Linked DNA regions of Alligator mississippiensis. The protein of the gene in region 2 purifies or fractionates together with the protein of the main gene of each other region. This does not show direct contact. Links are inferred from orthologs where the notes say so. Each region holds a gene or a part of one and is shown on either strand. Other genes may lie near its edges.

Region 1 (10,411 bases), on a different chromosome or scaffold from region 2:
GGCAGCGCCTGGGAAATGCGGTGCTGGCTCCCGCGCAGCTTTCAGGGCTTGCGCCCCCCTCCCACAGCCCCGTGGGCCTGGGTGACTGCCCTATGGCTGCAGGGGATGCGTCCCTGTGCCCCAGCCCAGCCTCCATCTCCTGCGAGTGACCCTGGGGCCTGCAGCTTCAGGACCTCTCGGGCCAGGGACTTGCAGATGCCGCTAGAGAGCAGAGCTGGTGTCCATGGCCCGGGCTCGAATGGGTGGCGCAGCGGACAGGCTTTTGGTTCCAGTTTCAGCTCCATCACTTGGTGAAATCACGTCCTGCCTCCGTGCCTCAGTTTCCCTCCCCTGCTGTGTCTCATCTCTGCAGGCTCCTCTGTGTGAGTGAGCTCCTGAGCAGGTAGTGGGCAAGTGGCTGGGAAGAGCAAAGGGGATTTGGCCACCGGGAGAGGGGGGGTGTTGGGTGCAGGGGTGCCAGTGGAAGGAGATGCTTTGGTGGGCTCCGAGGCAACACCATAAGGATGCCCTCAATGGCCCTTCCCTTTAGTGGAGAGGGGGAAGGAAGAGTGTTAAGCAGTGGGGAAACTGAGGCACAGAGCAGTTTCCACCCCACCTCCAGTGGAGATGGTTTGTGACAAGCCGGCCTTCCCCTGCCCCCCCCCAAAATGAAACCTAGAATCAGGCTGGGGGTTATTCCAGCCAGTTCTCCCCGGGCGCATCCACCTGCTTGGAGGGGGCAGAGACCCCGGGCTGGCCTGTGCCTGGGCCACTGTCCAAGTCATCCAAGTCTCACGGCAGGTCCAGCCTGACCCCGTGCCCCAGCTGTGCACAGCTGCTTTGCAGGGTGGCTGTTGCTCTGGACTGGTCTGATGTCCCCAGCAGGCAGACTGGGCTGGGGGGGGAGCGGGGAGGGGGTTAATGCCAGGCTGTGCTTCCCCCTCACCCCCCAGCCCATTCACCCTCTGCCAAGCTGCTGGCAGGAGAGGGGCTGGCTGCAGAGAACTTGGCAATAGGGTCAGGGGGTGTGAAAGAGCTCGCCCGCCCCTCCGCTAGGAGCTGCCAGGGCTGGGGGCTATATCGTATAGTGCCAGGGTGGGGGGCTATATCACCAGAGGTGCAAGGCGCTGCATGGCTGGAGACGATCTCTGCCTGGAGAGCACTGGCAGCAGGTGGGAGAAGGAAAGGAGGCGTATTCCTCTGGGGAGAGTGGGATCTCCATCACTGGATGTTTTTAGCCCAGGGGGAGAAAATGGGGCTGGTTCAGGGATGAGCCTGCCTGGAGCAGAGGGCTGCATTAGATGTGCCCCCACATCCCCTCCCAAGGGACCTGCCAGCCTGATGAGCCTAAGTGACTTGACCAAGGCCCCGCAGGCAGTCCGTAGCAGAGACCCCCCATCTCCATTGGGCCGTGGGGCACGCAGCGTGGCAGATCCCCACGTCCATCCCTGTCTACACTAGCACCTTCTGGCCTAGCCAGGTGGGGAGGGGGAGGGAAGGCAGATCCTACATGTTAGCCCCCCGACCCCATACCGTGCTGCTGACAGGCGACATCATGCAGCAAGTAAATAACATAATTAATAAAAGATTAGGATGAAATGTGACACATTAAATATTTAACCCTGCGGCTGCCCGCGCCGGAGGGCCAGACACAGCTGGCTTCTGCAGGATGTAAGGAGCAGGGTTATTTCCAACACCCCCCCCAACACCCAGTTTAACCCTAAAGAGCAGAAGGCTGATGGGGGTCCATGGAGGGGTGGATGGGAGGATTAACCCTTGGAAGCCTCTCCGCTAGGGCTGAGTGGGGCTGTCCGTCCGTCCGTGTGGGAGAGGAGGTGTTGGGGGCTAATTGTTACAGCGGTGGGGGGAGAGTAGGGTACAGGAGGGAGAGCAGGGCAGCTGCGAGCCAGGACTCCTGGGTCCTGTTTCCAGCTCTGGGACGAGCAGGGATGGTTGGGGGTGAGTGGGGAAGGGCTCTGTGGATTGAAGGAGGGAGCAGGGTGTAGCGGTTAGAGCAAGGAGGACTAAGGAGGAGCCCGGATGCCTGGGTTCCCGTCCTAGCTCTGCCACCGACAGGCTGCGGGGTGGGGGGCAAATCTCTCTTCCCCACCCCATCTGAAACAGGGCCTGTAATCCTTCCCGGCTCCCGGGTGGGCTGCAGCTTAATTGATTTGAGTGTTTCCCTGCCCCGGGGAGCAGCAGTTATTCCAAGAGCTGATGGGGGGGACAGGAGCGGGGGTCTATGGGGAGCCTGAGATGACTCCTGGCCTGGCCACCTCCTCTGCTCCCAAATGCGGGGCCGATGCCCGTTTGAATTGGGTGATAAGGGGTGGTCGGGCACCAGCCGGAGGGCAGGATGTGCCCTGAGATCTGGGCCGGAGGAGCCCCTGCCTTCCCCGCAGCTGATAGGCTTGCAGATAATTTTGCATCACTGATGAAATCAGCCCCCGGAGCTGCTTGGCCTTGGGTGCGCTGTAATTTCTTCTCTCCTTCCCCAAAGAAATGGTGCAGCACGTCGCCCCGTGGCGCTGCTTAGTCCTGCGACGGGTCCCTCCTGCTCCCTTTCATAGGTGGGGGAACTGAGGCACGCCGGCCCTCCGCAAGATGCAGGCAGCAGAGCCAGGATAGGACCCGGGAGTCCTGGCTCCTGGGCCCGTGATCGCTCTTTCCAGTGGATCCCCTCCCACCCGAGGAGTGAGTAGATCCAGTCCCTGCGGCTCAGGGGTTCCCAGCCCTTCCCATCTAGGGCCCCTGTGTCTACCCAGGCCAGGAATCGGGGAGACGTGGGGGATGCTCCTGGTGACCCCAGGACCTGACCGCTCCATGCCTCAGTTTCCCCATCCATGAAGCAGACATGCTAATGCCTAGTGTCTGTCTGGAGATGGGTGCAAATCTCTCCAGAGAGATCAGGAAGGCCATGACCCCCCAGTGCCTGCTTCCATCCACTGGCATTTTCATAGACTCATAGACAATAGGGCTGGAAGGGACCCCGGAGGATCATTGAGTCCTGCCCCAGGGGCATGAGAACCCAGTTTTGCTCAGTCAAGCAGAGGCCATGGAGAAGGGGGCTAATATGGGCATTGCCCCCAAGAAACTGGCCTGAGAATGGGCAGGCCCGGCCTGGTATTGCGCGGTCCCCAACCAGCGACGTCCCTTCTATCCGAACCCCGCTGGGTGATAAGGCAGTCCCCGGGGGATGCATCTGCAGCCACTTCTGGGGTGGAACACGGCAGCGTGGGCAAGCGCCTGCCTGGATGACTGCTTCGTTATGAATTACGGGTAGCGCCTCAAGGCTCGGGGCCTGGCCGGCCCACCGTGCTAGGTGCTGCACGAATGCTTCCAGCAGCTCGGGGATCTGGAAGGGCCAGAGGCTGCTTGGGTTGGTTTTTAAGGCTGGGGAACAAAGTGAGACCGCGCTCGGATGGGGAATCCCAGGGTCCCCGTGTCCCAGGACCGGCGGGACATGCAGAGGGAAGAGCGCTTTACTGTCTTGCCTGCAGCCCTGTGGGCAGGGAGCTGGGGGGGGGGGGGGGGGGGGTCCTATTGTGATGGATGGTGCCGCTGTGCTTGGTGTTAAAGGGATGTGCTGCTCTCTGCACAGCCTGAGTCATGGCCAGCAGGAAAGCCTTGCCTCCGTTAGATCAATGTGCTGTAATTATACCAGCCAGCCACTTCGGGCGGGCGGTGGAGGGAGCTGGGCCCCACGTTACTTTGATTGACAGCGGTGGGGAGCTGCAGCGCGGAGGCTGCTGGGGGCTGTAGTCCGGGCCAGCTGTGCTGGGGGGCGAGATGGGGTGCTTCGTGCACTCGTCCGGTGCCAGCGGTGCCCTGCTACGCGCAGCGACGGGGGGCAGAGCCCTAGGGACCAGCCGCCTTCGCGCCCAGCTCCCTGGAGCAGTCCTAGGCATGGGGCTCTTTGCAAAAGGAGCCTGAGCTGCAGGCTACCCTGGAAAGGGGGGAAACCGAGGCACAGAACTGACATGCTCCAAGCGGCCTCACTGCTTCATAGCACCTGTGCCCCGCACCTGGCAGGGAGGGGCCTGGTCTCCGACCGCTCTCGTGCCAAAAGGCCGGAGGCGGCATGGGGCGGTGGCACCAGGCACAGCCATGCCCGAGGCCGAGGACGCTCTCGCCAGGCGGGGGCATGGGGGTATCTGGTGGGATGCACCCCCAGAGCTGCCCAGGCCTGGCACCCTTGCCCCAGATGCTGCCCCAGCTGAGATGGGGCTGGGAAACCACAAGTCCCAGCCTGCCACTGCCACTGCCCCACCCCGGCTCCCCCCTGCTTCTCCTCCTGATTAGCCTCCGAAAGCTTTGACATCATGGACCCATGTGGGAACTGGGAAGGCGCATTGGTTGGCGCTCCCAGCCCACGGCAGCCAATGGCGCCGCGTCCACAGTAGCCGAGGCTGCAAAGCTCTTTAAGGTGGACCTGGGCAGCCCAGGGCGCGGGCGTCCTCCTGGGTCACCTGCCGGCCCGAGCATCCTGCCTTGGCGTCCAGCACAGCGCTGGTCCCCTGGCACCGCTGGCCTGGGCCTGGGGGCTGGCGTGAAGGCGAGGCGTGGGGCAGCGCGAGTCGCCCCGCCAGCCTTGGTCCAGCAGGAGGCGCTGCGGTGCCCGGGGCAGGACAGCAGCTTGCTCGGGGCATTTGCTGCTCGCTGCCCCAGTCGCAGCCTCTCTAGCCCAGTCCAGGCTTTCTCTCGGGGCGCTGTGTGCCCTGTGTTCGGCCCCCTCGGATGCCCGAGATGCCAGACCCTGATCCGGGCATCATCCTGCGTGGACAATGCCCAGATGATGCCAGGGGTGGAGGGAGGGCTGGTTTCCAGCCAGGGTCCGGGAGAAGGAAGCCGGGGGCTGGAGGCTGCTCTGCTCTCCTGGCTTCCCCCCGTCCCCCCTACGGTGCCCGGGGGGCTTCAGAGCAACTTGGGGGCACCAGTGCACTCACGGGGCACTGAAGTGGCTGGGGAGGGGGCACCAGCGTGGCCAGGGGACCCTGAAGTAGCTGGGGAGGGGGCACTGGAGTGGCTAGGAGGCCGGGGGAGGCATCAGAGCAGGCAGGCGACACCAAAGCGGCTGGAGCTGGGGGGCGGCAAATTGTGGGTCTGGCCGAAGGCACCGCTGCCTGCGGGAGCTGGTGCCTGGGGGGTGCCTGGGGGGCGCCCCAGCTCTCCCAGCGCCGTGGCCAAGGCCTCTCCTGGAGGGCCAGAGCCACCTTAAGGCGCGCTTCGCCAGGCTCCCCTGCTTTCTCTGCCTTGCCAGGAGGTAGTTTTTATTCCAGCCAGGGACCGCTGCTGAAATCCGGCCAGATTTTCGCCTGACCTTCTGTTCCTGCTGGGTTTTTTTGTCCCCCCCCCACCCCATGCTTTAAGGCCGATTAGATTTCCCCCCAGCCCCGTGTCCGATGGGCCGCTCACGACCCGCCGGGGAGGGAGTCCTGCTCCCCTCTCGCCCGGCGGAGATCTCCGCTCCGGCACCCCCAAAATCCTTGCATTTAAGATAAAAAGAAAAAAAAAAAAAAGCCTGGTCAGAGGAAGCCTTGTGCCCGCCTGGCTCGTCCTGGGCTTTGGCTGCCCTCCTGATCCTACGGCGGCTGTTGGAGAAGTTCAAGTGCAGGGGTCCTGGGGGGGCTAGCGGGGGCCGCCCCCTTCCCCTGGCTGGTAGCCGTTTGGGGCCAGCGGCTCAGGATGTACCCGCAAGGACGGCACCCTGTAAGTACCAGCCCCGCCACTGGCTGCGGGGGTGCATGGGCAGGGGTAGGGGGGCACTGGGCTCTGATCCAGGCGCGGGGCAGGGGCAGGTCCCCGATGCACGGGGCATCGCGCTCATGCCCCCTGTGCTTCCCTCCCCAGACCCCGCTCCAGTCCGGGCAGCCCTTCAAGTTCTCCATCCTGGAGATCTGCGACCGGATCAAGGAGGAATTCCAGTTTCTGCAGGCACAGTACCACAGGTGAGGGGTGCGGGCGGGCTGGGGGCGGCTGGGGGGACGGCGGGCATTGGGGGTCATTGAGGGGGGCAGGAGGAGAGTTTTGCCCGTGGCAGCTGGCTGGGCTGGGTGTGGGGGGCAGGTGAGGCAGGGGCCTGATAGCGAGGACAGGGCTCAGCCCCCTGCTTGGAGAGGGGGGAGCTGGGAGGAGCATGTGAGCCCATGGGGAGGTGGATGGAGGAGACTGGTTGGGGGTCAGGAGACCGCAAGAGGCCATGCGCCAGGTCCCGGGTAAAGGGGGCAAGGCACAGAGCTTGGTAGTACCAAGCGGGGAGGCAGGGAGCAGCTGGGGGTGCCGGGGGGGGGGGGGGTCAGGTCCTGGGGTTTGCCAGGCAGGAGGCATTTGCATGGTGGGGGAAGAGGGCAGGGGGCGAGCTGGGGGGGCTTCAGGTCAGAGGAAGACCCCAAGAGCTGGCGCAAGCAAATGCTTGGGGGAAAAGGGGTGCAGGTCGGGAGCCAAGATGCCAGGGTGGGAATACAGGCACCGGGGGTGGGTCGATGCCATGGGAGCCCTGCCGTCCTGCGTGCCACAACCCGCCGGCAGCGGGGCAGCAGGGGCGGGGGGCTGCCAGCCCTGATGCTGGGACCCTGGCGGGGAGGGCAGGGTGGCACCAGCCTGCCCTTGTGACCGAGCGGTTTGTCCGCAGCCTGAAGCTGGAATGTGAGAAGCTGGCCAGCGAGAAGACGGAGATGCAGCGACACTACGTCATGGTAAGACCCCCACTCATCCCCACCCCGCTGGAGCCAACGGGGTGGGGGGCTCACCCTCCAGCTGGGTCCTCTGCACACCGTGGGTCCCTAGAGCCTGGCTTGGGAGGAGACCCCCCCCCCAGCCAGTGGGTGCTGCCAGCAGGTCACCCCGGGGGTCTCCCCGAGTGGGGGGGAGCATCAGGCAGGAAGGAGTTAAGCGCTAGTCCTAGCAATGGGCTGGGGGGGGGGGCAGCTGCTGTCTGCTGCCTCGGTGCCAGCCTGGATCCAGGCCATGCTCTCTGTCTTCCTTTTTGCCCCGGTCTCTTAATTATACAGGTCTCTGCCCCCCCCCCGGGGTGGGAGGGGATTCCTGGAAGCAAAGGCGCAGAACCCCCCCACCTCGTGCTCCCCACCATGATGGCAGGGAGCAGCATCTGTAATGGCCAGCAAGGGGTTAATAAATGGGCTGGGAGCCCTGGCATTGCCCAGCCGAACTGGGCACTGCCCAGCTCTTTGCAAAGGAGATGCCCAAACATCTTGGTGGGTGAGGGGGGAAACACCCTGGCCCCCCTGCCCAGGCAATGAGGCTGGGGTCCTGTCCATGCTTGGCTATGAGTCCTTTCTGCCACCCCCTCTCCCCCCCACTTCACCGCACGGGTGCCAGTTCCCCGGGGGAAATATGCGCCAGTGGGTAGAGCAGGCATGTTGCGGGGGGAGGGCAGGCGGGCATTGGTGCCCACTAAGCTCAGGCAGGACCTGGTGTGAGTAGGACATGGGGCAGGGGAGGGTGGGCTGCACAGAGCCCCTCTCCTGCAGCTGCTGGGGCTGGAGGGCCAAGCGGGGGGGCTTGTCCTGCTAGTGCCCAAGAGAGGGACCCCGCTAATGCCCCGTGGGACCCCCCTGTAACTGGACGGTCGTCTGGCTTCCCTTGCAGTACTACGAGATGTCCTACGGGCTCAACATCGAGATGCACAAGCAGGTGAGTGCCAGGGGCCCAGGCCCAACGCGGGGCAGGCGCTCCGCCCTGGGGCACAATCCTTCCACGTTGCCCTCAAAGGGGGCGTTGAACCCAGAGCTCACTGACGCTGAGCTGGGTGGCACCAAGTCCCGGTGGGGAGCGGCTCTTGCTGCGCTTGGCGCTGTACAAATGCCAGGACCCTGAGGAGCACAGGGGGGACAGGGCAGGGATGGGGTCCCTGAGCAGGGACCATGTCCTTAAGCCTTAGTGGGTGTATTGAGGTGCCTAAATCCCTCTGACACCACAGGGACTGAGATGCCCGCCCACACCTTTAAGGACCTAAACCCCTTTCCCAGCCAGCCTTGGCACGGCCTCCCCTCCGCCAGTGGTCTCGGGGCCAGGAGGGCATGGCGGGGTGCCCGGAGCGGCTGGTGGCAACCGGACCTCGGCTTCCCCCCTGCTCGGAGCCGGCACAGTGTTTTCCAGCCAGCCCCGGCCCCTTTGTTGCTGCCGTAATTTGCTTTCCCTCTTCAGATTTATCAACCCAGTCATCGCGGGGCTCTCTGCCAGGGAAATTAGCTTGGAGCCGTGCCTGACAAAGTGGCAAGTCAACTGCCATATTTCTCCAGCTGGCTCAGCCCCCCGCGCTTGCTCCTTTTGTGAGCGGGGAGGTTTGGCACCGGCGCTGCCCTTGGCTGCGCCCTCCTCTGCTGCTGATCCCGTGGGCATCCGAGACCACCCCGGGGACCCAGCCGGGAGCGCCAGGCCGCGGGGGGATGGCGAGGAAGGAAGGAGGGGTGTTTTAAGTGCCGGGCAAAGCGGATGTTGGCGCCCGGATGCCTGGGTTGTGCTCCCTGCTCCGGGCGTGAGCGTGGTATGGGCGCTGGTTCTGCGTCCAGCTGTGGTTAGAGCCAGGGAGATGGGTCCTGCGAGTGTCTGCAGTCTAGGGACGCCCTGCTCCCGTTGCCGCTGCGTGCCTCAGTTTCCCCGCCTGATGGCGAGGCTGCGGAGAGCTCCAGGATCTGTGGGGGCAAGGAGCTACACAGAGCTAACGAGCGCTTGTGCCCAGCTGGCAGCTCCCAGCGGGCACAAGCCACAGCTGTATTTGAGCCACAGCTGTAGTTGAGCCCAGAGTCCCACGTGGGGCTACACCAAGCCTGAAGCAGGCTGGGAAGGGACGTGGGGAATTGAGCCCGTGCCCAAGCTGTGTCTATGGTATCTACCTGGCTCCTAAACCCATGTGGCCCGAGGGACCGCCAGAGCCTGGATTCAGTGCCCGGGTGACCTGGATGCCCCCTTCCTCCTCCAGGCCGAGATCGTGAAGAGGCTGAGCGCCATCTGTGCCCAGATCATCCCCTTCCTGACACAAGAGGTGAGCGGCCGTAGGCTGGCGGGGCACCAGCAGCGTCTCGCGGGGCCCGTGGGGGAGAAGCACCCAGGCCAGAACAGCTGGGCAAGGTCCCAGGGGGTGGGGTGGGGTGGGGTGGGGTGGGCGCTCAAATGCCCCCCTGGATCATCCCTGTGTGGACCCTACTGCGGCCCCACCTCCCTCCCCACCCAGCTGTGGCCCCAGGGGTCTCACCCTGCGATGCTCAGCACCCCTGACCGCCCTGCTTTCCCGGGCAGCACCAGCAGCAAGTGCTTCAGGCCGTGGAACGGGCCAAGCAGGTGACCATGGGGGAGCTGAACAGCATCATTGGGGTGAGTAGCTCGGCTCAAGGGTGGGGAGGTGGGAAGCTGGGCACGGGGAGCCTGCAGTGCCACCCCCACAGGGGTCTGGGCTTTGCTCACCATTAGGCCTGCTGGTCCTCACATCTGGAGCATAGTGGGAGGGGTCCTGCTTGCTGGTCATACTGACCAGCTGCTGCAATGGGTGCAAAGGACTCTGGGACTAGAGGGAAGGGGCCCCTCATCCTTGGGGGGTGGGATTTGGGGCATTCCCCCTCTCCCGGCAGCTTCTGGAGCCTCTATGCTTTTCCTTCCAGCAGCAGCAGCTGCAGCACCTCTCGCACCATGCGCCGCCCATCCCGCTCACCCCCCACCCCTCTGGCCTGCCCCCCTCCAGCCTGGCCGGCACCTCGGGGCTCCTGGCACTGTCGGGGGCACTGGTAGCCCAGACCCAGCTGGCCGCCAAGGACGACCGAGTGGGTCCGGATGCTGAGAACAGCAGAGGTAAGGCAGCAGCAGCAGCCCTGCAGCAGCACATGGTTGTGGGGGGTGGATAGGGGGCGGTTAACCCTTTGCACCCTGGAGGGTGCCCGCCGTGGCTACTGTGATCCTCCCATGGAAATTAATGGAGCAGTGACTGCCGGGGGCTCCACGACCCACCAACCATTCATCTCACCAATCGCTGCAGGAGCTGCACCTACTGGGAGCACTGGGATGAGCAGCACCTGACAGCGACGGGAGGGGGACGGATCCCCAGGGTCACCAGTTGGCGCCAGCCAGGAGATCCCTCTGGGACTGTCAGCCCCCCACCCCCTTTGCCCTTCTCCCAGGGCTCATTGATGTGCTGCAGCTGTTGTCTCGGGCCGGGAAGCGTCCTCGGGCGCAGCGAGTGACAGATCAGGCTAATTAAGTAGCTGTGACCCCGCGAGGCTGGCACTATTTTTGACCGAGGGAACAGCTGCCTGGAGTGTTGGCTGGTGTGCGAGCTGGTGGCGGGTGTGAGCACGTCTCGGGGCAGGGGGGATGCGTGTGAAGTGGCGTGCGTGCACACGGGCATGTCTAGGGTTGTGTTCGCTGGTGCTTCGGTTCTACCCCACCCGACACATGCATGCATGATACCCTGGCACGCGCC
Region 2 (10,381 bases):
GAATCAATACTATTATTTTTCATAATATACTTAAAATCCTAGAATTCCGAGAAGCCAAACACCTAAATATGGTTTCATTCCTCAGTAGTACAATTTAATGGGTTGGCCTCAGTAGTACGGTTCAATGGGCTCGCCTCAGCAATACAATTCAATAGGCTGGCCTCAATACTGATAGGACTAAGTCCCCTTCTTTCAGTCCCTTTTGGGCGCTCTGCAGCTTCAGCGTGAACTAAGAGATTCGTGTTCACGGAGAGGGTGGTTCAGGTGATCAGTCTGATCTGGCCTACACTTGCGATTCTTCCTTCGATGTTCTGCAAGTATAGTCACCTCCAAATTGGGACAGTAGGTTACAGTTTTTATTGAGTGAGTTGCCGTCTTGGGCCACTCCTACTCAAACCTGTCATTACCCCCAAATTTGGGCTTGGATCTTACTCAACAGATTCTTTTGCTTAATAATTAGTTTCTTTTGTTGATCATTTTAATTACTTTGGGGAACTTGCATACCACTGCAAGTGACCTTTTTCTTACCAATCTGTCAAAAGGCTCTAGAGTTTGATCTCTCGGAACTCAGGATATTTGCTGAAAAGATCATTGTTAGGTTCTCTTTGTAAAAGACTTCTAAAGATAAAATTCAAAAGTTAAAACTTTAAGCAAAGTCTGGATTTTTCACAGACCAAAACAATGACCTAGATAAGGAGATAAATCTTATCTTCTTCCTGAAACTGGCTAATGGGCAACCATTACAAACATTCAAACTATTTAATTCAATATGACATAGCCAAGTCCTTACCACCAGGGGCTGATGAACTATGGCAAAGGTGGTGATGTCTTAACCACCTACGTACCCGAGTCAGACGCTCCAAGGAACTAATGAAGTAGGGCTATACCATTGGTTCAACCACCTGTGACAGAGGCACAGAGCCTCACACTATGCAACACCTGCTGCAATGCCTGCTGCTTGAAGGCACATGTACAATGAAAGGCCTCGCAAAGTACAATAAATATGCACAAGCATGTGTAGCAAAATGGTCAAATGTGGTGTAGAGACATGAGAAGAACAGTGCTACAGATGTGGATGTAGCTTTATAGTCCAGAGCCAAAAGATACATAAGAATGTACACAGGGGTAAGCATAGTAGTCCCTTTGCATTGAATAGATAAGCATGGATTCCTTCCTGTTTCATCTTAAGAAATGTCTGAGTCCCTGGCTATAAAATAAACAGATAACTTACAGTGGTCTAATTTCCCTATCTGATTTCTATACTTATAGAAACAGTAGTCTACATAATATTTTTTTAATATTAATTAAAAGGGTGCTTGGTTGACAGTTTAGTTTTGTACTCTATTCTTACCGTGTTAATAGTATTGCAAAAATATATGTTAAATTGTGAAAGGCATAAAATTAAGCTAAGTGCACCCTCTTGAGGTTGCTCATGTGAAAATGCATATTAAAAGAAAAACATTATTTACCTGTTTTAAGCAGGACTTCTTTTATGCCTATTGAATAAAAGAGGTATGTAGCATTGCAGGCAGACTGAAGGGAGACTGGTCCCTTCAAAATGTTCCTTAGTAATTTGAATGCCATTCAATCAATCAAAAATGAATTAGAAACAGGACTAGAACTTAACTTTCACAATTTTAGGTGCTAACTACAGCACCAAAACACCTAAGTATTACTGGAGTTAATCCATGTGCATTTAATAAAAGGAAATGGAAGTGCATTGCAAATGCCAACATACTTATATAGGGGAATTAGGAATTACTCTTAAAAGAAACTGGGAAACAGAAGAAAGTGGTACAATTTAGGGGAAGTTAACTGTAAGACTCTAAATTCGTCCCTTCCGCTAACAGAAGACTAGATTGTACAACATGTATTGTGGCCTTATGCACAGGGACCTACCTAAATCATGGTTTTGTGGATTTTGCAGAGACTGCAAAATCTGGGGGTGCCTATGAAATCCATGAAAAAAAGATCCTAATTAAAATAAGTTTTTATTCGGTTTTTCCCTCCCAGATGGGCCTGCCCGGGAGGGGAAGACGCAGGATGGCATGGCAGAGCAAAGGGGACAGCAGACAAGATGGCAGCTGTCCCTACTCCCCCCCATGCCCTCTGGGCCTCTCTGCCAGTCAGCACTGAGGGATAGGACCTCTCCCGCAATTGGATCCAAGGGGTGGGGCCACCACAAAATGCCTGCAAAATGTGCTCTTCATGCTGTGATTAAGCCATAAAAAGGGGCTTTGTCTTGCTGCAAGTAGGTCCCTGTGTATGCATGTTAAGGAACTTTGAGACCTAATTGGTTTAGCTTATAAAACATTAATTATATTTCTTTCATACAATGCATGCTGAGTTTGGCCATAGAATTAAACTAAACTGGCTCATGTCTTGTTTTGCATTAGTCCAGTGCTTGTTAGGGATCTGTTAACACTACTGAACTCATTTAGCTATACTGTATTGATGCAAATTTTCTTGACGTAAAACCAGTATTTGTAATTACATTGAAGTCACTAAAATTACTCATGTATGTTACTGCCAGTAATTTAGCATGAGCCAGCATAAGTGAGCAGAGGGCTATCGAGTTGGGGTTAAAATCAGTAGCAGCCTTCTAAATCCACCATAGACAATTCTGGACTAACAAATCCTCTCTGTGCGCAACTTTTTTGAAACATGATCATTTTAAATGTTTGTATTTTGCTTGAAATAGATAATTTTTAAATATAAAATGTGCCTTCCAGCCCTCTCTACTGCTGAATGATAAAATAGACAAACAATAAAATAAAACTGTTGGGAAAACTGAAAATGGAATTTACTTATATACCATGGTAATGGTGCATAGAACCTTACTGAAGCCTCAGTAGCTATTTTGGTGCCCTCAGCAAAGATGCTGTGGAGCCTGAGGGGGTGGGATGGGATCTGTGCAGTGGTGGATCCGGGGTTGGGGAGTGCTGGTGCACTTCTACACCACCCTTTGATTCCTACTCCAACCAAAGTTTAAAACCAACCACCTGGCAGTGGCAGCAGCATTTCTTATCAGGCAGTGCTGAGGGAGTCAATTGACCTCATGGTTCATTGTAATCTACCTGACCCCTTCTGCACTCTTCATTTCACAGGTGTTAGCGACCCTCTATTCTTTTTAATGGTCTTGATGTTCCACCAATTAAGCTACCCTTTGTTCTTCAATTCTGCTGTCTGTTAGTTGCTCCTGGTGATACAGCTCCTACTTCACAGCACTGCCAATTGTTTTTAACTGATTGCATGAAGTTATATTTGTTTCTTTGCTCCAATCTGAAACTGAATAATATAGCCTTACACCCCTGGCATATTAGTTAAACTTTTAGTTTATTTTTAATTGGAGAAAAAGATATGTGGTTTCATATAGATTTATAGATGCTAGGGTTGGAAGGGACCTCAGCAGATCATCGAGTCCACCCCCCTGCCCTGGACAGGAAAGAGTGCTGGGGTCAGATGATCCCAGCCAAATGCCTATCCAGCCTTCTCTCAAAGACCCCCCAGGCAGGGGAGAGCAACACCTCCCTTGGAAGCCTGTTCCACATATGTGATGATGCATCTCACTATCTATCCTCTTCTGCCTTTTCAAAATCATATATCGGCCCACAAGTGCATGTTATTGAAAATGTAATTTACTTGTAGACCATGATCATGATATAGAGCACCTTACTATACACACCCATAGGCAGAAGGAGTGTGCAGCACTGGGGGATGCTACTGGCATCTCCTCTCGGCTGGTGGGCTAATTAGGTTAGTGAGTAAAACTTTCCTCAATGCATCCTTTTCCACCATCCTCTCTTTACAGAAAGAGGCAGATCCTGTGTGATTAATGGAGAAGCTTTATCTGTTTTGGATAAACAGGATTTGGACAGTTTTATTTTATGTTATTTCCCTGCTCTGGTGAAATACACCATAACTGGAGGCCACAAATGTTTTTTCCCCCAAAGCATTCATACAGATACCCTGGGCAAAATGAATCAAAGATCAATCTCTGCTGCAGTGGCCTATCTTTGAAAGGCTTGGAAGGTACCTGTGTTGGCTTAACAACCCCTCAGATAATGACTACTTTTGTTTGAAGTGCCATATGAGGTGCATTTTCGTTTGAGGTGCCTTTAGCACACATTTAGGACAAGCTGTGTGGTAGATTTTATAACCCAGCTCAGTTGCCCCAATTATTGAGGGGTCATCAGGTACAAAAGGAGCATTCCAGTTACTTTCTAGGCCCTCTAGGGAAGTGGTTCTCAACCGTTTTTGTACTAGGACTCATTTGTAACATCAACGGCCAGTCGTGACCCATTGCCCCTCATTCCTGGCCTGTCCCCCCCTCCCCCGCCCTTGTTTGTGGTACAGGGGTGGGTATGTGTCGCATGGGGAGGCCTCAAGCAGCCCCTTGCAGGCTGGAGCTCTGCCAGCCTGCAAGGGAAAAAAACAGTTTCCCACGTTTTTCTTCTTTCAAGGGCAATCCACTTTTAAAGTTTGTTCGCTTCCCTTTCATATATTCTTGTGACCCACTTTTGGGTCATGACTCATGACCCATGGGTTGAGAAACACTGCTTTAGGGGGCAGGTCCTGCTGTGGGGAGCACAAGAAAGTTAGCTTGGAAGGGATGGCGTAAGGTCTAATCCAGCCCCTTCCTCAAAGCAGAAGCATCCCTGACCAAACCATCCCAGCCTTTCTAACCCTGTTCCTGAAAACTTCCAAGATAGCAGATTGTTCCAATACCCGGGCACCTGCAAAGTCAGGAATACCCTCTTAATCTCAAACCTAAATTCCCTCTGCTGCAGCTCTAGGCCATTGCTCCTAGGACTGTCCCTTGGGCCACAGACACCATGTTAAACACAGCAGCTCTGGCTGACCCAGGAAGCACTCCTGCGTAATCAGCATTGCCAGATCTTAAATATGAAATAATTGTATTGGAAGCTCAAAATTATCCTATTGTGGAAAAACTATCGTACACTGAAAAAATATGCGAATGAACATGCAAATAAGTTTTCTTCTTATTTACTTTATATTGCTCACTATAACTCGCCAGTGAGTGAGTGAGAACTGAATCAAAGTCGAAGCATTTCTTTATGTTGAGGCAAGCAGCTGTAAGAAAGTGCTGATAGTAAACCTCAAAGTTAGGTCTCAGCCTCTTGTGGGCTAAGATCAGGTGGGGGCATCTGAATCCCAAGATCTGTGGCCTTGGGTCTGCAGGTAGGATGCCTGCCAATGGATTTGGGGATATATGAAGTCCCAGGATCAGCAGTTGGGAATGGAGGATGCTCACCATTTCTAGCACCACACATGGTGTTTAAAACAATTGAGTTCTGCCTGCTCAGTCAAGATGGTCTTTGCAAGGACTGAGTTCTGATCACTTGATATGATCTCAGTTACACAACCTTATGAAAATGAAGGACTCCTCTCTAAGCTTGTTGCTGCAGCCATACAGCTGAGAGCAAGCAAAACATGGGGGCATCTGAACCCCAAGCTTCTGGGCTTGGGTCTGGATGTAGGATGCCTGTCAATAGATTTGGAAGCATCTGATGCCCCAGGCAGGGGTGGAGGATGTTTGCCTGTAGCAGGGCCACATTAAGCTTCTTGATTGACTCATGGATTTGGAATTGATTTGGCTGTTTTAACTTGGGGGACATGACAAAATTTCTATTAAAAAAATAATAAATACTTTCTGAGAGCGATTTGGGTTTTGCATGTGCTGCATCAATAATCTGCCTCAAACATGAGTGTACATTTTGAACCCCTATGGTACAAATATGGTAATTACTGTCCACGCGCGCAGCAACACCGTGCCTAACAATCCCAATGAAAGCCAGAGCGGCCTGCCACAGCCAGCCTGCAAAGCTATCCCCCCCGCCATTGTGCTGGGCCGGTGCCCACCGCGCTCTCAGGCCCCGCCCCACAGAGAAGCGCAGGCCTTTCCCTCTGCACCACGTGGCCAAGCCGCAGAGCGTCACTCGACTCGCTGCCCTGAGGGCCATCGATGCGTTCCGGGCGCGTTCGCTTCTCCCTGGACAGGGGCCCGCCGCGCATGCGTGCGGGGTTCGGAGCGGGGAGTTGCGCGCGCATCCCCCACGCGGCGTTCGGTCTCAGGGCGGCGGCTCGCGCGCGGTTCTGTCGCGGCTCCAGGCCCATCCCGCCTCCCGCCATGGCGCTGCACGTGCCCAAGGCCCCAGGCTTCGCCCAGATGCTGAAGGAGGGCGCGAAGGTGGGGGCGGGGCTCTGGGGGAGTGGAAACTTCTGGAAGCGCCGGGCTCGGCCGGGAAGGGGAGGGGTCTCTGTTGCTCTGCTTTCTGCTCCCCGCCTTGTCTGCTTTTTATACCCGTACCAGTCAGCTTTCTTCTCTACACCTTGTGCTGTCAGTATCATCTGCTGCTCTGTTTTCCGCTCCTCGCTGCATGGTGCACCCTGGCCCCTCTGTTGCTCTGCTTTCTGCCCCCCGCCATGTGCAGCCTCCCCCGTCCGCTGCTGTGCTTTGTGCTCCTCATCCGTGTGCCCCAAATGCTCTGCTTTCTGCACCTTGCCTTGTCTGCTGCTCTCCTTTCTGCCCCCCCCAGCTCTGTACTCCCTGACCAATCTGCTTTCTGCCTTACACCCTATGCTCTCTGCTGCTGTGCTTTCTGCTCCCCACCCCATCTGCTGCCTCACCTGCTGTTGCCTGCTCCCTGACTAGAGAAGCGGTGTAGAGCAGGAGTGATCAACCCCATGCCACAGGCTGGATCCACCCCTGGTGCCCTGTTACCGTTGTGGGCCTGACTGGATGCTAGGTTGCATGCACAGGGGCCTGATCCCACACGTGCAGGGCTGGGCAGAAGCAGCCTGGGGCTCCTGGGCCCATCCACTCATTTGGCCTGTGGGATCAAAACCTTGAGCACCGCTGGTGTGGGCTGTAAAGATGCATAATGTCTATGATGCTGTTGAAGAAGGTATTTCCGACGTATCAGGAGCCTGGTATAGGAGAAACAATAAACAGGCCCAGGGCACTAGGCCATTGTTGGTCCCTATCTGGAAGGGGGAAAAAGGCTTAGTAAGATGAAGAAGGCTTGATTAGAGAAGGTTAATAAGATGAAGAAGGGGAGATGGAGCAAGTTGGGGAGCCTACTGCTTTCCTGTTTCAAGAGGGTGGTAGGAGGTAGGCAGTAACTGCAGGAGCTGCAGATCTCTAGAAAGGGGTGGGGGGAGCAAGGAAGCAGATGTGAGGGGACTCTTCCCCCAACTAAGAAGGGGCACGGGAGCAAAACAGTGGCTACTTTTCCCAAAGTGAAGGAGCTGCAGCCTCCTCCCTTTTGGATGTAGAGGGCACCTGGTCATGCTCTACAGAGCTGGGTTTGTGTGAAGATGCATTATTTAGCAGAGTAGGGAGCTCAGTTACGTTTGTGTGGTATAGGGTTTAGGCTAGGTTTTGTTAAGGTATAGTGAACATCTTGACATAGAAACAAGATGCAACTGGTTTGGGGTGAGGTAAGGAGGGATGGCTCCTGAAGGGGAGTGACATATTCTCATGCAAGCGAAGGAAGATTTTTTCTTAAGTAAATTGGTGCCCGTCATATTTCAAGCTTCATATTATGAGTCAGTAACTGTACCAGAAGTGATCTACTGGGATAGACTTGAGGCATTCACTTTGCATCAAAAGGGGACCCAGCTTGCCTCTTTCCCTGTTCAACAACTTGCTCCTAGTGCCAGTGGGGCAGTTGGAAGACTTTATATGGTACTTTTTTGTCCTTACTTTTTTTTAAAGAACACTGTCACTTGTATTTAAATATTGGGAATGAAATCCTGGCCTCACTGAATTCAGTAACAAAACTGAGAATTATTTTATGTTAGAATTTGTAATGTTAAGTAATAAACTTCTCTTTGTAGCATTATTCTGGATTAGAAGAAGCTGTGTTTAGGAACATTCAGGCATGTAAGGAGCTTGCGCAAACCACCCGTACAGCTTATGGACCAAATGGTAACGTTGAATTTTGTAGTTTGTTGTCATACTTACGAATACAATGCTGTATCTTTCTTGTAGAAAGACCTGCCTTTTGTGGTCTGTGGCAATATGGAACTCCAGTATTTAATGTCACATAGCTAAAAAAAATTGGTCAGTACCAAGACAAAATGCTTTTCTCATAATCTTACTGTCTTTATAAGAAAACTGACACTGTTGTATTGTACCACTGTTAAAACGTTTGGGGGTGAGGTGCTGAAAGAAAGTCTCTCAATTTTGGGAATTGAAAAACTAATAACATTGGTTCAAACTGTAGAACAGTATTTGCAAGTATGTAAAATATATACGCTGTTTGTGCTCCTAGGAATGAACAAAATGGTGATCAATCATCTGGAGAAACTTTTTGTTACAAATGATGCTGCAACGATCTTAAGAGAGCTGGAGGTAAGTGCTTTGTTATATATTATCTTTTATTTTGGTTGATATATTATCACCTAAATACTCTAACAACTACAAGCTTTTTACTCGGTTTCCCTATTAAGGGTTCCTAGCAAGGATTCAGTTCTATTGGCTAAGCTGCCCACATAAGGTGTTAAAACAGAGCTACTGTTAACAAGTGTACAGTCAACACATTCAAATCTAGCAAGCGAAAAAGTAGGGCTTTGCAACAAAATGACATTTGTTATAAATGATTACTTTGATTATTGAATAATAGCATTAGTAATTCCTTGTTTTCTCTTCCAAATGAGATTAGAATTTAGAGAAAGTTGTGATTGCTAACGTTTTGGGCTTGCCTATGTGGCAGAATGCCATGGAAGACTATCTTGAAATGAGATAGTCAATAACAAGAAATTAATGTTACAGCTATAGTCATGTGTGTCTCTGTTTTGAATTATGTTTTTATTTGTGGGCCTAGAGGCCTGAAGTGAGGGGGCTTCCAGCTGTCAGAACTTGCTGCTTGCCATTGCATCTAACAGCACTGGCAGTGAGGTGTGCAGGGGTATGACAAGCAGTCCCTCAACTGCACCTTCTGCCATGCACTTGTGGCATGGCAGGAAGTGCAGTTGTGTGGATTGTGCATCAGATCCCGTAGTGCTTTTACCTGTGTGTCTTGTAGGGGCCTTAGATGTAGAAAAGCGGAAGATGTCAAAATGGTCAGCGCCACAGCATTTTCAGATGCTTTGCACTCTAAATCAAACACGTTCTAGAAGAAGCAAAACCTTGCTTCCTCCATCCCAATCATCTGCATTCCTTTTAGATAAACTGTGTTTTTTGTAAAGACTTCTTTGTTTCCATACAAAACGTTAAGAATATATATTTTTAAAGTTTACTAATTGAGAATGTTAATTCAGTGGCAACGTATAACCTTTGAACAGGTCCAACATCCTGCTGCCAGAATGATTGTAATGGCTTCCCATATGCAAGAGCAGGAAGTCGGAGATGGAACAAATTTTGTCCTTGTTTTTGCTGGGGCCCTTCTTGAGCTAGCTGAAGACCTTCTGAGGATGGGATTATCAGTTTCGGAGGCAAGTAGTTGATTTTTGATATTTGCATTCATACAGCACAGGTACTATGTTAGATTAGTGATTTGGGGCTGTACTACTTGGTTGCATCCATAATATGCTTGACTATTTTCTTTCTTGCCAGATTAACTTCAGTAACCGTATAGCTAAAGAAGAGTAGTGAGAGAATTGTCGTAGTTTTACTTTGTCTGTAGACAAGATGTTTGTTATAAAGTCAGTTGACTAATAAAAATGGAGTAGCCAGTGCCCCGTAGTCTTACATGAGAGAGAGCCATTCCCATCTGGAGCAGAGTTGTCCCTCAGTGGGAGAAATGACTGTATGCTGACTGTGTGCCTGCTTCTTAGTCATTTTCATCCCTGGGTTGGCACTTTGCTCGGTGCAGACTGGCGCTCTCCCCACCTATTTACGTAGTGTTGTAATAGCTTCTATGGTAGGCAGTTACCTCAGGACAGCTGGTTTTGTGTCTGCTCTTTAATTGGGAGTAAATTTACTACAAAGTAATATTTAGAGTGAATTAGTAGCAAGAATATTGAGTCTGCGCCCTTAGTATTCACCACCCTTTTTTTAGCGATTTAAAATTTCTCTCTCATATTCCATATTACAGTATACATACACTTTAAAATTTTAAGACACTCCACAAGGAAGCACACTGAATGTAAATGTATGCTATGGGGAGGCCAGAGTGTCATAGTTAACTTTTTTGCCTGCATCACAGGTGATAGAAGGCTATGAAAAGGCCTGCAAGAAAGCCCTAGAAATTCTTCCTGATCTAGTATGCTGTTCTGCAAAAAATCTTAGAGATGTTGAAGAAGTATCATCTTTGCTGCACACCTCAGTAATGAGCAAGCAATATGGCAATGAAGTCTTCCTGGCCAACCTTATTGCTCAAGCATGTGGTAAGTATGAACAAGTTGGCTGTTT

What was found. The genes of interacting proteins can lie anywhere in the genome.
Region 1: the proteins of CCT8 (region 2) and transducin-like enhancer protein 2 purify together in Homo sapiens (affinity purification with mass spectrometry; 3 studies listed by BioGRID and IntAct, with this or other methods). This does not show direct contact. The link is inferred for Alligator mississippiensis from reciprocal best matches to the Homo sapiens genes CCT8 and TLE2.

Annotation. Positions count from the first base shown.
Region 1 is NC_081839.1:3,785,414-3,795,824, reverse strand, and holds the start of transducin-like enhancer protein 2, read left to right. Parts: upstream 1-5,105; 5' UTR 5,106-5,664; coding exon 5,665-5,688; intron 5,689-5,829; coding exon 5,830-5,927; intron 5,928-6,132; exon of another isoform or gene 6,133-6,194; intron 6,195-6,610; coding exon 6,611-6,674; intron 6,675-7,587; coding exon 7,588-7,632; intron 7,633-8,920; coding exon 8,921-8,983; intron 8,984-9,237; coding exon 9,238-9,312; intron 9,313-9,596; coding exon 9,597-9,783; intron 9,784-10,411.
Region 2 is NC_081824.1:289,663,704-289,674,084, reverse strand, and holds the start of CCT8 (T-complex protein 1 subunit theta), read left to right. Parts: upstream 1-6,057; 5' UTR 6,058-6,151; coding exon 6,152-6,211; intron 6,212-7,863; coding exon 7,864-7,954; intron 7,955-8,300; coding exon 8,301-8,380; intron 8,381-9,312; coding exon 9,313-9,462; intron 9,463-10,175; coding exon 10,176-10,356; intron 10,357-10,381. UniProt on the Homo sapiens protein: Component of the chaperonin-containing T-complex (TRiC), a molecular chaperone complex that assists the folding of actin, tubulin and other proteins upon ATP hydrolysis.